Linked DNA regions of Nothobranchius furzeri. The protein of the gene in region 2 purifies or fractionates together with the protein of the main gene of each other region. This does not show direct contact. Links are inferred from orthologs where the notes say so. Each region holds a gene or a part of one and is shown on either strand. Other genes may lie near its edges.

Region 1 (5,140 bases), on a different chromosome or scaffold from region 2:
TGCAGCCAGCCACAGATGATGGCCCATGAAATGTGCTTGGGTGTCAATCTTTCAGACTGGCCCAGTGGCTCTACGAGTCTCTCTCCTGTCTTGAATCTGGTCAGCTGAACTTGTCCATCCAAAGACTTCACAGAAGCACACAAAGGACAAGAAAGGATTTTATATAGCACTTAATAAGAAAAAATGCACGAGTCGCTTCAAAGAACAATTCAAATATAAAAGAGGTAAAATATATTAAAAAAATAAAGATAAAATGAAGAATTAAGATTTTTTTTTTAATGAAAATAAAAAAAAAGGTTAGCATGGGATGTTGAAAAATGTGGAATTGTTCATGTCCTCTGTCTCCCATGTCTCCCCTTTTCCGATGCGTTTTCTGTCCCTCTATCATCTTTCAGGCTCTGAGCTGTAGATTTTTATGCATTTGTTATTTTTGATCTTTTGACCGGAGTATGAAAATAAACATTTTGGAACCTGAAATGTTTGAATCTTTGAATGAATTGTCACCACACCACCGATTCACGTGCAACTGCCACATTTTTAAGAATCCTAGATAACAACAACCCAGTCAAATGACAACTCTCTGGGAGTTCTAGTTTTAAGGTTATGTTATTTTAAATCAGTCCTGTTTTCTGCAAGTTTTCATTTAAATGCTTATATAGTAAGGTATAATATAGAATTATAGATTAATATAGTAAGGTATAATATAGAATTATAGATTAATATAGTAAGGTATAATATATAATTATAGATTGATATAGTAAGGTATAATATATAGATTAATATAGTAAGGTATAATATATAATTATAGATTGATATAGTAAGGTATAATATATAGATTAATATAGTAAGGTATAATATAGAATTATAGATTAATATAGTAAGGTATAATATATAATTATAGATTGATATAGTAAGGTATAATATATAGATTAATATAGTAAGGTATAATATAGAATTATAGATTAATATAGTAAGGTATAATATAGAATTATAGATTAATATAGTAAGGTATAATATATAATTATAGATTAATATGTCCCAGGGAAGAAAAATAAGTGAGATCGAAGCTTATTTTGGGCAGCACGAGTAACTAAAACCTAAAAGACACTTTATACCACGCTATACTGTAAATGAGCTGAATCTGAGACTTTTTTTTGCGGTCTTTGATGTTGGGATTTTATAGGAAATCCCACAGCTGCCTTCATTCAGCAATTACTGAAGGGCGGTGGACGGAGTCTTCCTTTGTTGTTGCTGAATATTTGCGCATGAGCAATACAGCAACAAGAATAATTCCTAACGTTATGCAACTGCTCCCATTACAACATCCTGGAGGTTTGTTCCTACAGCTTGTAGGCCCATCGACTAAAAAAGATAAAACACAATCAAACTACCTCTGCGCAGACCTTAATGTGCCTAGAAGCTCCACTGACGCTGGATGCATTCACACAAATCAGGATCCTCTCTGTTCAGATCTACAGCTGAGAAAATGATATGAATGACTTATCTAACGAGTGTGCTTGTTCTTTGGTGCATAATGTGTTTCTGCGTGATGCGGACAACTGGAAATCTGTCCAGTTTCACATTATGTCTGCTTGATGTTATGCAGGTATTAACAGTTAAAACCTCTTTCTTCCATGTTGTCTCCTAAATGTGGATTACCTATAATATTCTCCATGCCTCCTTTTGTTTTTACACAACAAAAGTTCAAACTTAAAGCTGAAACCTTGAAAAAAAGGCCAAAAGTGGGAATTTCAGTTATTGCATTTTTCACGCATCTTTTTTATCTTCATACTCGGCTTTAACTGTCTAAATCATTACAATTACACAAATTATGAATTTTATTGTGCACGTTTCCTTTGTACAAAAGGACAATGAAGCCTTGAATCTCATGCTCATGAACCTGATGCTGTGTAAACGGGTAATGGATATGAGAACATTATAAAACGTTAAAGGTTTGCTGAACTGAAGGTGTGATCTTTGGGCTCTTTTTGCAGCCGTGTTCACCAAGTAAATCAAAGGTCTTCCTTTGTTCCTTCTCTTTTAAAAGGCTCAGTCATAATGAAATACCTTAAAACATCTGAAGCTTTGAAAAATACTTGAGTTTTACCCAATATTAGTAAACCATCTATAAGCCTCAGATGTCGTTTTCAGACCTGCTTCTTTTCATTTTTTTATTGGGTCGCAAAGCGGGTTCAGAAAATGGGTGGATGGATGGATCCTTTGGGAGTGGTTTTACATCGAGCAAAGAACAGAATGTACAGTAGAAAATAAATGGGTGTTTGTTGTTGTTGTTTGGTTTATGATGACTCTTTTGATGTTGCTCTGTATTGTCTAATACAGTCAACGTAACCTTGGAAACGCCTTATCAGGAAAAATCCACTTTTTGGAGCTTTTGACCGTGATACTGTTACACAAACAAACCCGTTTTGGGTTGTGTTAATGCATTTTCCTGTTTCAGCTGCACATGAATGGAAACTAATCATCAGGCCCTGCTCCTCTCCCGGAAGATAGTCTCTGGTATGAAACCTAATTCAGCTGGTCAGCACAGGATATGTGGCTTAGGCGACCGTCACGTAGCAGACTTGGTAGTCCAGTTGTTACGAGTGCTGGGCTGAATACCTTAACCACTGGACCACCATAACCAGTACAGCAACTGAATCACTGCTGTAGGCACATCTTGTCAGAGTGGGCTTGGGCAGTTTCACCAAAACAAACCGCTTTATTTACACTGCCCACTTTGCTCTCAAAGGTTTAAAACAGCATCATATGATATACATGCTTTGTCTGCAGCTCCACAGTCCAACTAATCGATAACAGAGCCTGGTTTGACGCGTGAACCATTTCACCAAACTGGTCATCATTTCCCCTGCCTACCACAGACTTCTGGCTGAAGTTGTCGGGATGAAGAGATCGCTGAAGCTGCAAGTATCTTGTCTGCAGCTTGTGGGTGTCCAGTGTGAAAGTGTAGTCACTGCAAAAAGGGGCAGCACACAATGAAATGAAATTGAATGACAGCTCATTTAGAAATGGCTGATTTGAAGTGATGTAAGACACTAACCAGTCCATTATTTTGAAGTAGGTGGTTCCTTCCTCGGGGGGTTGGATTGCCTGGCATGACTTGCAGAAGAATGTGGACGTTTTCTCTAGAAGTCGCTTACAGTTCCAGCAGTGCGGTTTAATCTGACTTGTGCAGCAACTTTTGGATGAAAAGACCGTTTTAGTGTAATAAAATTCTACTTTTCCAAATTCTCTGAAGTTCACGCCGTTGTGCCAAGGAGGGTTGTTGCTGTGGAAGCTGGCTGCCATGCTGGGACTTAACGTGGCAGCGTTTGGAAGAGACGCTCCATGCTTCCTCGTCCAGGGCGGGTGTCGCGCAGCCCGAGGTGAACATATAATCCGCAGAGAGCCAAGTGGAAACATGCCTAACAGCAAAGTCCTAATCAAAACATTCACACCTCTGTGCCTATAACAGCAGAGGAAGAATGGGTCTTCTTCTACGTTTCTTAAACGCGACAGTGCCACCGCGCGGCTTGATGACGTATGCGTCTCGGAGGTGCTGGGAAACAAAACATTAGCTTAACCAGCATCGGTAAAAACTATTTACGAGTATTAAACTTTTAAGTGATATTGAATTCGAATTCAGCAAATAATCCAAAGTAAGTCAACGACACCAGCTTTGTTGTTTGTTTGGGATGTAAGAGCGCCGCAGCGTTAGCTAGCATACAAACTTCCGACGGCAGAGATACGCGTCAGTCAACATGTAGCTGAGTAGCTTCACAGCTCGTTAGCTAACGTGTTTCTAACAGTAACAGTATAATGTTTACTGTCTGTCCCGCCCTGCAGGTGAATAGGGTTTATGTTAGAAAATAAAAGTCGAGGCTTCTTGTAGACAGGGTATGTTTGCCTAATAAAATGTCACTTAGCTCTAACTTTCTGCTGTGGGTTTAGCCCGAATAGTTGCTGCTGTCAGTGATGTGCAGTAGGCGTCGTTATATTAAAGCCGGTGCCTATCTCCAGCGGTCAACGGGCTATCAGGCGGGGTACACCCTGGACGAGAGCCAGTCCATCGCAGGGCAACACAGAGACACACAGGACAAACAACCATGCACACACACACACACACACACACACACCTAAGGACAATATAGACAGACCAATCAACCTAACAGTCATGTTTTTGGACTGTGGGAGGAAGCCAGAGTACCCGGAGAGAACCCACGCACGCACAGGGAGAACATGCAAACTCCATGCAGAAAGATCCCAGGCCGGGAAGCGAACCCAGAACCTTCTTGCTGCAAGGCAACAGCTCTAGCCACTGCGCAGCCCTGCTGCACAATCCATCCATCTATATCACTGCTGTGAGCATGATCTTAGGTACGTACAAGTTTCAAGGAACTGGAATCATTTTAAGTTTGGCTTTTGGCAAAATATCAAACTCCTGAACAACTCATGACCTTAAAAGTTTCTTAGCAAAGTACAATCTTTGATGTGTGTGTGTGTGTGTGTGTGTGTGTGTGTGTGTGTGTGTGTGTGTGTGTGTGTGTGTGTGTGTGTGTGTGGTTTAGAGTGGTAGAAGTACAAAAGGTGACGGCAGAGTATTCCAGAGAGACACTAGTTGGAGACAGAAGCATCCGTAAGGTAAACAGGATCTCTTCCTGAAGGTCGAGGGAGGTGCTTCTCAAGGACCCAGCAGACAATACTCTGGTTATTATTAAAGGAAATGGCTAAGAATAGAGAGCAGGGGAGCAAGGTAGCTCTTCTGGCGCTTGCGTTGTTTGAGTTAAACAAGCCAAAACGGAATATCATCTTTAGAAGAGTGGCTTCTTTAGCTTGCTGGTTGGGTGTGGTTCGGTTGCTCGAGGCAAAAGGTTGATTCAAAGGGCTGGAGCTGGTTTTCATGGACAGCGGACGTAAAGGAGAGTAGTTATGGATCATCGTTGATGAATGGCGTTATGCTTTACAATTTTAATTTGTAAGTAAAGGTATTTTTATATCACTCAGCAACAGTTTTTGTCTTAATTAGCACAACTCGTTTCTTGATGATATAGTTTTTATTTGGTCATGTTGAATGTCAGCACTTACATGTGCAGGTTAGGGGTGCATTGAGGGGCTTTTCCTCTAGTTACAGTAGTTAGCTTAT
Region 2 (4,371 bases):
GGCTGGTCCTCTCCTCCATGGAGTTTCTTTCATTCTGTCTGAATTTGTCTCTGCAACCCATCCTATTTAAAAATGTATTATAATAGCCCTAATGGTTTCATTTGGGGGATGACGGAAGTTCTTCCCCCTCCTGTTGATTGCATTTAAATTTTTTAGCTGCCAGATTAATTTTCCTTACCAATTTTCTGGTTGTAATTTAAATGACAAAACCGATCAAAAAGTGGATGTTTGACTTCAATGGTAGATATCCAACCATGGTGTTAAAGTGAGCAATTTTTTTTTTCAATTTTATCTACAAAGGTGTCCAACACTGGCCTGCCTACATTGGTAATTTAAGTTTCCTCAGTGGGTTTTCTTTTACAGCTACACACACACACACACACACACACACACACACACACACACACACACACACACACACACACACACACACACACACACACACACACACACACACACATATATATATGTATATATATAATTTTTTTTTACATTGTATGTTTGGATAGTCATTGCAACATTTTATGGTGTTGGTATTCATTCAAGTAAAGACATCTTTCATTGAGTTTTGTCAGAAACATTTTCAACGGGGGTGTCATGGTCACTGCTATTATAGTAACTGGTCAAATTTAGCTCCAGATCTCTGTTGTTGACCTACTTTGTGATACGGCACCAACTCTTTGCTGGGCTATTTTTATCCAGTGACTATTTTATGAGAAGCTGATGCCTGGCTTAAGAGACCAACAATGAAAATCTTGTGAGCGCCATTTATATAATCCCTGAGTTAGTTTTACTTTGGTTAGTTTAAGACAATATATACATATTCAAGATCATTTAGAGCTCAAATTAACATTGGAATGCCATTATCTCATTATCGGTCAACTCGCTGCAGTTTGTGTTGTTTTGGTTCTTTCTTTCTCACCAGTGACCAGTACTGGAAGTAAATTGGATCCAATCACTTCATGGAGTTGCTGTTTTCATACAATATGCAACGTTAATTGGATCATACAGTGCAATGTTTGAAAAAGTTCAAAAAAACTTAAGCCATCTTAATAAAGTAATGGTATGGCCTAACGTGAGGAGATTTTTAGTGTTTTCAGCAGATATGTGTATTATGAATAACATGATTCCATGTTACTGCATAAAAATACTATTACAGCTAATTTCAAGATTATATATTTTCATTTGTACACTTTGAGCTGCTAAAGACCGAAACCAGAAGGAATCAGACACTAAAACTTTGTCTACTTTTACCCACTGTATTTTCTTACAAAGACAAATGTGAAGATAAGACATAAATCAACTTCTGAAAGAATCCCGAGTTTCTCCACCACCAGTCAGCGTGTCGACATTGAGACTTATAAATATTTGAGCAAAATGCGCGTCTGGTGCTCACGACTCACAGGTGCAGAGGGAGAATGGGGACAACAAACAACAGAACATATAGATACCCTGATCACAAAGGAAAGTTCTCATTTTACACCTAGCATATCTAACATACTGGTATTAGTACAAAAGTCAACATTTCACATCAAGTTCTGTGACTGCCTTTTATTTAAAGCTATTGAGTTACACATTAGGTTTCTCTGAGGATGTGTTTTGACAAGTTCACATGAGGTGAAAACAATATCAGATGAGCTACCACTGCTAGTAATTAGTATGAAACACAATCTGCAGATCACTTACAGTCAAGTCAAAAAAAGACACTTGTTATAGTGATGAATACATTTATAAAAATTTGGACAGAGAAGTTAACTTTCAGTTAGCTTTTCTCTGTTTTCTCACGTATTAAAGGCCTGCCCGAGATGCTAACACAAAGGCAACCATAGACCAGGGCAGGGATATGGGAACGACAGCAGTGAGGGAATTAGAAATGTGATGACTGTCAACACACCATCAGCCCAGCAGTATAATTACAAGGCTCAGGTTGTTTAGTCTGGATTTATTAGATTTCTGAACATAGAGTAGAATAATTTGTAAAACGCCCCCAGCTGTCACTCACACAGAGATAAGACTCTCAGACGCAGGCTTTGATTGACTATGTTGTGTGTTAATATGCACATGACGATCTTCATCAAAATAAGTCTATAAGACACAAATTCATTGCACGGTAATGATTCGTCCTTGCCTCTGTCAGTGTGCCCCAGGGCAGCTGTGGCTACATTGTAGCTCATTACCATCAGTGTGTGAATGTGTGTGTGAATGGATGAATGATACACTGTAGTGTAAAGCACTTTGGAGTCCTTTCTCTGAGAGGCGCTATACAAGTGCGGGCCATTTATCATTTATCATGATTGAGCTAGTCTAAGAAATGAAGGTTTATATCAACACAGTAGCCAAATGCCAAGGACCTTCTCTCTACTGAGAGCTTCTGTCTCAGAAGCAAGGAGAGAACCACAAAGAGAAAGACTTGTGAATTATAAAAGAAACCCTCACCAATAAATGCAAACAAGCAATGGACACAATGTAAATTTTTCAGGGAATGCCTAAGGATGAGTTTGGCTTATGTGATCTGTTATTATGGTAAAACTTGAGAAAAAATAAAAGCCAACATGTTTTTCAGAAGTCAGCACCTACCTTAGGGTCAGCAGTCAGCAGCTTAAAAGCCTCATACACCTGCCTCTCTTTGACTCCACCTCCAAGGTCCAGGAAGTTAGCCGGCTTTCCCCCATGCAGGTCTATGATGTCACATGTTGCCATGGCCAAACCAGCTCCATTCACTGTTTGGAAAGCAAACATCCCAAAAAGGCCATCATTTTGTATTCCTCCATGGAATTCCTTAATAAATGACCAACTGAATGAATGAAGGACATGTTTTCCAAGAGGAAGAGGGTTAAGAGATCTGAGATAAAACTGAGATAAGTGGGTGATGACTGCAAATATTGTTAATTAAAACATTACTGGATTTAAATAGTTTAAGAAAAAGCCACATTTAGATCTACTGCAAGTCATCTAATAAGGAAAACAGTTAAAGAAATCAAAGAAAATGATACGGAATCCACCAATAAACCTCAGAGACAAGATTTGACTAAATGAGAATGCACTGTGCTTTTGTGGCCTGTATCATTTAACCTACTGCCAGCACTACTACCCTGCTGGGTCATACGTCGTACCTCATTTAGTTTAGCCAAGCTGAACTTGTGTCCTGGCAAGCTCCCCGACTGAGGTCTCAATAAAAGGGAAATTTGCCTTAACAGCTGTCACTTTGGTGGCTTACAGAGCTCTCACAGAAGCTGCGGGGTCTTAAAAGCTGTTGTTACTCTAAGAGTGTGGGAGCGGTGGATGCAGAATCAGCTGCGAGCGTATGCACGGAGGGGGAGTAGCGCTAACAGACATCTAATGTGTTTATGAGGCTATGGGGTAAGGAGCGAGAGCACCTGTTAGTGCTGCTGTACACTGTAAAAGCTTTGATTTATGACAGGAGAGGAGCCCTTTAATGAGAATGCTAACAATCTGCCTCACTAGAGACTTTCTGGGTGGATTATAGCTATTTAGAATGCATTGGTTATGGCAGTGTTCATTCTAGTCTTCAGAAAGCTGCTTGTAACATTGACGGGAGGAGAACCCGGGCAGCCTTTAGTTTGTCTAAGTTTTAACTGTGTCAGAGCTTTTACTTAAGCAATTAAAGAGGGGCATTAAAGTCCTATGCCAGAAGGTGAATGCTTAAGGAGGAGGATGCATTTATTTGTTGGTGAGCGTGCGTTAAAGGGCTTTGCAGTCATACCGAAGCAGGCAATGTTTCCGTCCATTCCAATATATTTGAGGTCCCACTTGGCTGCCTCCATCTCTGTGGGGTCACTCTCAGACATGTCATCCATGGCAAACACAGACTTCTGACGAAACTCAGCGTTATCGTCAAAGTTGATCTTGGCATCAAAGCAAACCACTAGGAAAAATACACAAGTAGATAAAGAGCTGGTTTGCATAATGAACAACAGCAACAACAACAAAAAAAGAGAATACAAAGCTGGCAATCATGACAAAAAGTATTAAGATATGAAAAGATAGCCCTGCACCTAAAGGACCTTCAGGCATCCTTTAACTCTGTAGTCAGAGACGCGAGGGTTTCCTATTTTTCCAACCTGGTGTCCCAGAGCAAAGGGAACCCCAAGGTGCTGTTTAACACCATCAGCATCATTGTCTCTCCTGCCTCTCCGACAGCCTCCATCCACTCTGTTAAAGACTGTGAGAACTTTGTCTTTCTTTGTGGACAAAGTAAATAAGGTTAGATCTAGCATCTCTCCTTCAGCCTCTCTCGACGCCAACCAGGCCCATCATCCTAGATAGCTTTGCTCCTGTTTCTTTGCCTGAGTTAACCAAACTAGTTAACTCTATGAAGACCTCTGCATGCCCCCTCGACATTTTACCCTC
Region 3 (4,806 bases), on a different chromosome or scaffold from region 2:
TCTTTTACCAGCGTAGACGCGCGGTACGTAAAACCACACACATGTCTACGTGCAAGATGGTGCAAGCTGACGAAGCGGAGCGCAGTTGTTTTCTGTGAATACACGTAAAGATGTCACGTGATGATTTCACACAACCAATCAGCGTCGGAAGAGTTGGTGGCTCCTGATTGGACAACTTGAATTAGACAGGAAGGTCTTTGAGAGGTTCATTTTAAAAAGGGACACCACTGTGTTTACATAACCTTCCTGTCAATGAAAACCTGTTGATTAGTTTTTTAAAAAGTCACACAGAACAATTTGTATGTTTGCTGCAAAACATTTAAACCGAGAAAGAACTAAAGAAAATTAGATAACCAAGGGTTATGTTATTTATGCAGAATGTAGAAACACTAACAGCAGATGATGAACTGACAAAGGCAGACAAGCATGAGCATCAAGAATCAGAAGAAGCAAATAATTCTGACCCAGTAAGTAGTTCATAAATAATTTAATAGGATTATTACTATTATTACAATAATAATAATAATAATAATAATAATAATAATAATAATAATAATAATAATAATAATTATTATTATTATTATTATTGAGATATCATACAGTTTAGTGCATATCTAACCAGTAATGCATGTGCACTAGTTTAAGTCTCAACAGGAAACGTTCCACTGAAGAAACATGTTCCTAAATAATTTAATTATAGTAATAAAAAGTAAGTCAGATTTTAATTATAATACAACATATTTTCTTAATATTCTGCTGCTGTCAAATTTTAAACAGCTTTAAACAAATTTTTTTTCTATTTACACAAGGGCTTTGTCTATCTCTGAAGTTTTTTCTGATGATTTTTATAGCTATTAAAAAGTCCAACACAATGTTTTAACGCAAGTTTACATGGGTGACTGTAACTACAATAACCTTAACATTTGGTTAGTGTGGAATTTGTTATAAAAATTTTATTTTGTGAAATGGTAATGTTTTAATTGTGTGAGTTGTTTCAAGAAACAGCAACATTGCCACAGAAAATAAATCGACATAAAATGTCAGTTTTATTTCATTTTCCAGAAGTTGCTGATAAATGTGTAATGTGTGTAAAATATGTTTTTATGCATATATTCAAATATATTTGCAACTTCTATCCCTTTACCTCATGAGATACAGACGCCATCTAGTGCTGGCACTTGTTCTGTTCACTAGATTTGTGAAGGACTTCATTACCCAGAGTGCATTGTATCCTGAAGACACTTGCTGCAGCGCCTGCCTCAAAAGAAACAAGTAACAAAATAAACGTCGGTGTCTGTCTGCTATCTGTTTCTTACGCAATAAAATTCCAAAAAGGAAGGGACCCATCTAATTTTCCAACTGACCGATATTTTTTGAAGTTTAATCGAATCTCTAAATTGTTCAGGCAAATTTTAAGTTAGCTAACTTCCCACTGTAGGCCCCCAACCGCTTGTGTCATTGGTGAATGACCGAAGATGTCTCACAGCAGGTTATTTGCCAAGCTGCTTTGTAAGTATTTTAACATTTTGCTATTTTATTGTCATGAACAGTTCAAGCATAGTCTCAGTAAAATATGAACATTTTTTGGTTCTTAGCTGGTCATTATTGATAAAGACTCATACAGCCTTCCACAGAGTAAACTACTGCCACTTGGCTCCCATGCTAGCTAGCTACATTTGTCGGCGCTGTATGAAATGATGATAATCGTAAGCTCATTGACTATTAGCGATCAAGTTAGCAGGCTAAGTTTTCAGGAAGGTCCCACAAACAATCTACTTCCCCTTTGATAATTTATCTGGACTTTAAAGCGTCTGTTAATAGCTGTGAAGGGGTCAACTTTGTCAGAGTTAATGATTTAGCACAAGAAAAACATCCACTCTGCAGGAAAATGTTTTTGATGGATCCGAATTTGAAAACGCTTTTCGCTGAATAATTCTGCATAGGTTACGATTTGTTTTTATTAACAAACACCTCCTGTTTTGTAGTATACTTCCCTATTCACGTGGAGGGATTGAACTTTACACTGAGTAATTGCAGGTGTCAGTAAAACACAGAATGAGGATCAAAGTGCAGTCTCAAGAGCTGCAGCAGGGGCTGTAATATTAGTTCGTTCATTACTCATCTAATATGTTACTTTGTCTCATTGCTTGAATTAGAACAACATTTTTCTGTTCGGTGATCCTGCATAAGGTTTCTCAGTCATCGAGTATTGACTTTTATTTGTTGCGCGATTTAACATATTTGCTTGTAAAAATGCCAATCATTTCAAATTAAATGCCGTTTGGCTTTAAAATATTTGTGGCCAATCTTATTTCTGCTTGTTTTGATTTGGACATTAAACATGCAGTTTTTCATTTAAACATTCTGTAATTTAATCTGTAGTCTGTATTAAGTGAATTTTCTTTTAATCATAGTGACATTAGCTTCCGTTGTTGTTTGTATTTGTTTTAAAGTGCTTTCTTAAAGAGCAATTCACCTCCTACCAGAGTCTCACTCCACTCCCACTTCCTGTTTGAAAAATGCAACAAATGCTGTGCACCTCTTACCCGATAGCGATGGCAGATTTAAATTCAAACGCAGTGCAGAGTTTTTACCTGAAGAGGGTGTAACACTGACAGCTTTAGGCAGAAGATTTAAAATTGAATTAAAATGCAGTAAAGGGACATATTATTGTCTATGCGTGTCTACAGCACGATTAGACACTCATTTATATAGTTTATCAGCAAAAAAAGTTGATTTGGGGTGACGTGCTGTTCAAGGAGTTGCAATCTGCAAAAGTGGTGACTGTTTTGGTGGTCACATTGGCTTCTGAAAGTAAACTTTGAGGCTCCAGCAAAAATCTTTTCAACATTGGTCAGTGAATTAGTTAGCAAAATGTCAGAAAGCGAGGGGAGGCAAAGGAAACCACGCACTCCCAGAGCTCAACTTGACATTTCAAAAGCTGTAAACAGCAAATTGTTTGGATCTTTTGCTCAATAATCAGCTGGTGCAATTAAATTATTTTCTTTTGTTTTGTTGATTACGTTTCTGTTGATTGACATAATGATCAACAAGCAATCAAGGCATGCTTTTCTTGGACTGTACTTTATTTGTGTGCACTCAAGTCAGTGAATACTTATGTTTTGATTTTTAGTTTGAAGCATGTGGCTCATTAGTTTTTATGTCTGTTGAATGCTGTTTTGGGCTAGTTTTACACACTCCGTGATCTAATTAGTTATCACAAGTTATTTAATTTTTCTGATTTAATACGGCTCAGCGTGGAATTCGAAAATGTGACCTTCATCCTAAATCAAGTTAGAAGCAGCTGTTATTCTGAGCAAAACTAGAGTGAATGTGTGTGCTGTACATGAATGTCTGATATTTTGACCTTTAACAAAAGCAATAAATTCAATATGTTCATATTGCATTATTAATTCATAGTTGCATTTTTTGTTTTATAGATTTTAAAAGGCAGTCAGGTCTGGAAAAAGCTGATAGTGTTGTTCAGCAACTGTACAAGAATCTGCTGCCAAAACACTACAGAGCATTTGAGTAGACAGAGAATACTGTCCTCAAAGAAAACTGGTAACATTTTAATAATCACTGTAAAAATAATGAGAGTTGGTGTTTCTGGGAACTTAGCAGGAATTCACATTTTGTAGAAATTTCAGAAAATCTTTTGTAGCAGCTTATTGTTTCTTTATGCAGCACAAAGAATGTTTCCGACAAATGGAAATAGAATGATTTGAGTCTGAAACTTAACCTGTGTGTTTATCTAACATCCGGTTGCTTTCCCTTTCCTTTTCAATCCTCTCAGTGCAGCACAGTGGAGTCAGACACTGTTATACTGGAACAAGAAAGAACCTCTACATCAATAAGAACACCAAGGTCATCTGCCAGGGTTTCACAGGAAAGCAGGTTTGTATTGACGGCTCAACTATAATCTTACTTCACATCAGTTTATCTTACTGTAATCCTATTGTGAAACTCTGGTTTCCCCTACTGCCTCAAAAACTCCCTCCACCCTTTTTTCTGTCATTTTCTTTCTTACTAAGCTTCCTAGGAGAGTGTGAATATTGTCACACATGTTTTTTTTTATCCCATTGACGTTTTCACCTCTGAGCTGAACATATCTGTGCGTGCGTGCGTGCGTGCGTGCACTTGGTGGAAGTGCATGTCAGGCTTCGAGTGCATAGTAAACAGGTCAGCAAAAAACTGTAGAATTGGGACAGTGAGGAATTGGTCATCAACCCGCGCTACTGCGTTGTACCTCTGTGACTTCCTAAATGGGATTGCCGGTCACTGTTTGTACTAGTTTGCTACTTGACATAATAAAACAAGTTATTGAATTACTCTCATGTCCATCCATCCATTCTCCTCCGCTTATACGAGGTTGGGTTGCAGGGGCAGCAGCCTGATTGGGGGGGGGGGGGGGGGGGGGGTACCCTGCAGTAGGGCTGCAACGATTTGTCGACGTTGTCGACAAATATCGACAATAGAAATAGTCAACAATGACTGTCATTGTCGATGTTGTCGCCAGACGTGTTTTTTTCCGACCGAGTGAGTTATTTCACTTCATTACAATCTCTGCCGAGAGTCGCACATGCGCAATAGCTTCTCTGCTGAGCATAAACCAACAGAAATGAAGGCGTCCAACACAGCAGCTACGCGTACCAAAACATCTAAAGTTTTGGAGCATTTTAGCCTGGATTCGGCGAATAAAAATTTTACCTGCATTATTTGCAAAGCAGTCCTTGTGTATCACGGCAGCACCTTGAAGATGCACTAACACTTAAAAAAAGCACATCGGACAGTTGAATGAAACAG

Evidence for each region. Proteins that work in one complex are often made in the same cells at the same time.
Region 1: the proteins of suclg2 (region 2) and hscb purify together in Homo sapiens (affinity purification with mass spectrometry; 3 studies listed by BioGRID and IntAct, with this or other methods). This does not show direct contact. The link is inferred for Nothobranchius furzeri from reciprocal best matches to the Homo sapiens genes SUCLG2 and HSCB.
Region 3: the proteins of suclg2 (region 2) and suclg1 fractionate together in Homo sapiens (co-fractionation; 6 studies listed by BioGRID and IntAct, counting the BioPlex papers as one, with this or other methods). This does not show direct contact. The link is inferred for Nothobranchius furzeri from reciprocal best matches to the Homo sapiens genes SUCLG2 and SUCLG1.

The regions. Positions count from the first base shown.
Region 1 is NC_091750.1:33,251,890-33,257,029, reverse strand, and holds the start of hscb (iron-sulfur cluster co-chaperone protein HscB), read right to left. Parts: upstream 3,426-5,140; 5' UTR 3,421-3,425; coding exon 3,059-3,420; intron 2,972-3,058; coding exon 2,875-2,971; intron 1-2,874.
Region 2 is NC_091743.1:57,261,214-57,265,584, forward strand, and holds part of suclg2 (succinate--CoA ligase [GDP-forming] subunit beta, mitochondrial), read right to left. Parts: intron 3,887-4,371; coding exon 3,725-3,886; intron 2,721-3,724; coding exon 2,578-2,720; intron 1-2,577. UniProt on the Homo sapiens protein: GTP-specific succinyl-CoA synthetase functions in the citric acid cycle (TCA), coupling the hydrolysis of succinyl-CoA to the synthesis of GTP and thus represents the only step of substrate-level phosphorylation in the TCA.
Region 3 is NC_091746.1:79,666,783-79,671,588, reverse strand, and holds the start of suclg1 (succinate--CoA ligase [ADP/GDP-forming] subunit alpha, mitochondrial), read left to right. Parts: upstream 1-1,381; 5' UTR 1,382-1,475; coding exon 1,476-1,509; intron 1,510-3,796; coding exon 3,797-3,897; intron 3,898-4,806. UniProt on the Homo sapiens protein: Succinyl-CoA synthetase functions in the citric acid cycle (TCA), coupling the hydrolysis of succinyl-CoA to the synthesis of either ATP or GTP and thus represents the only step of substrate-level phosphorylation in the TCA.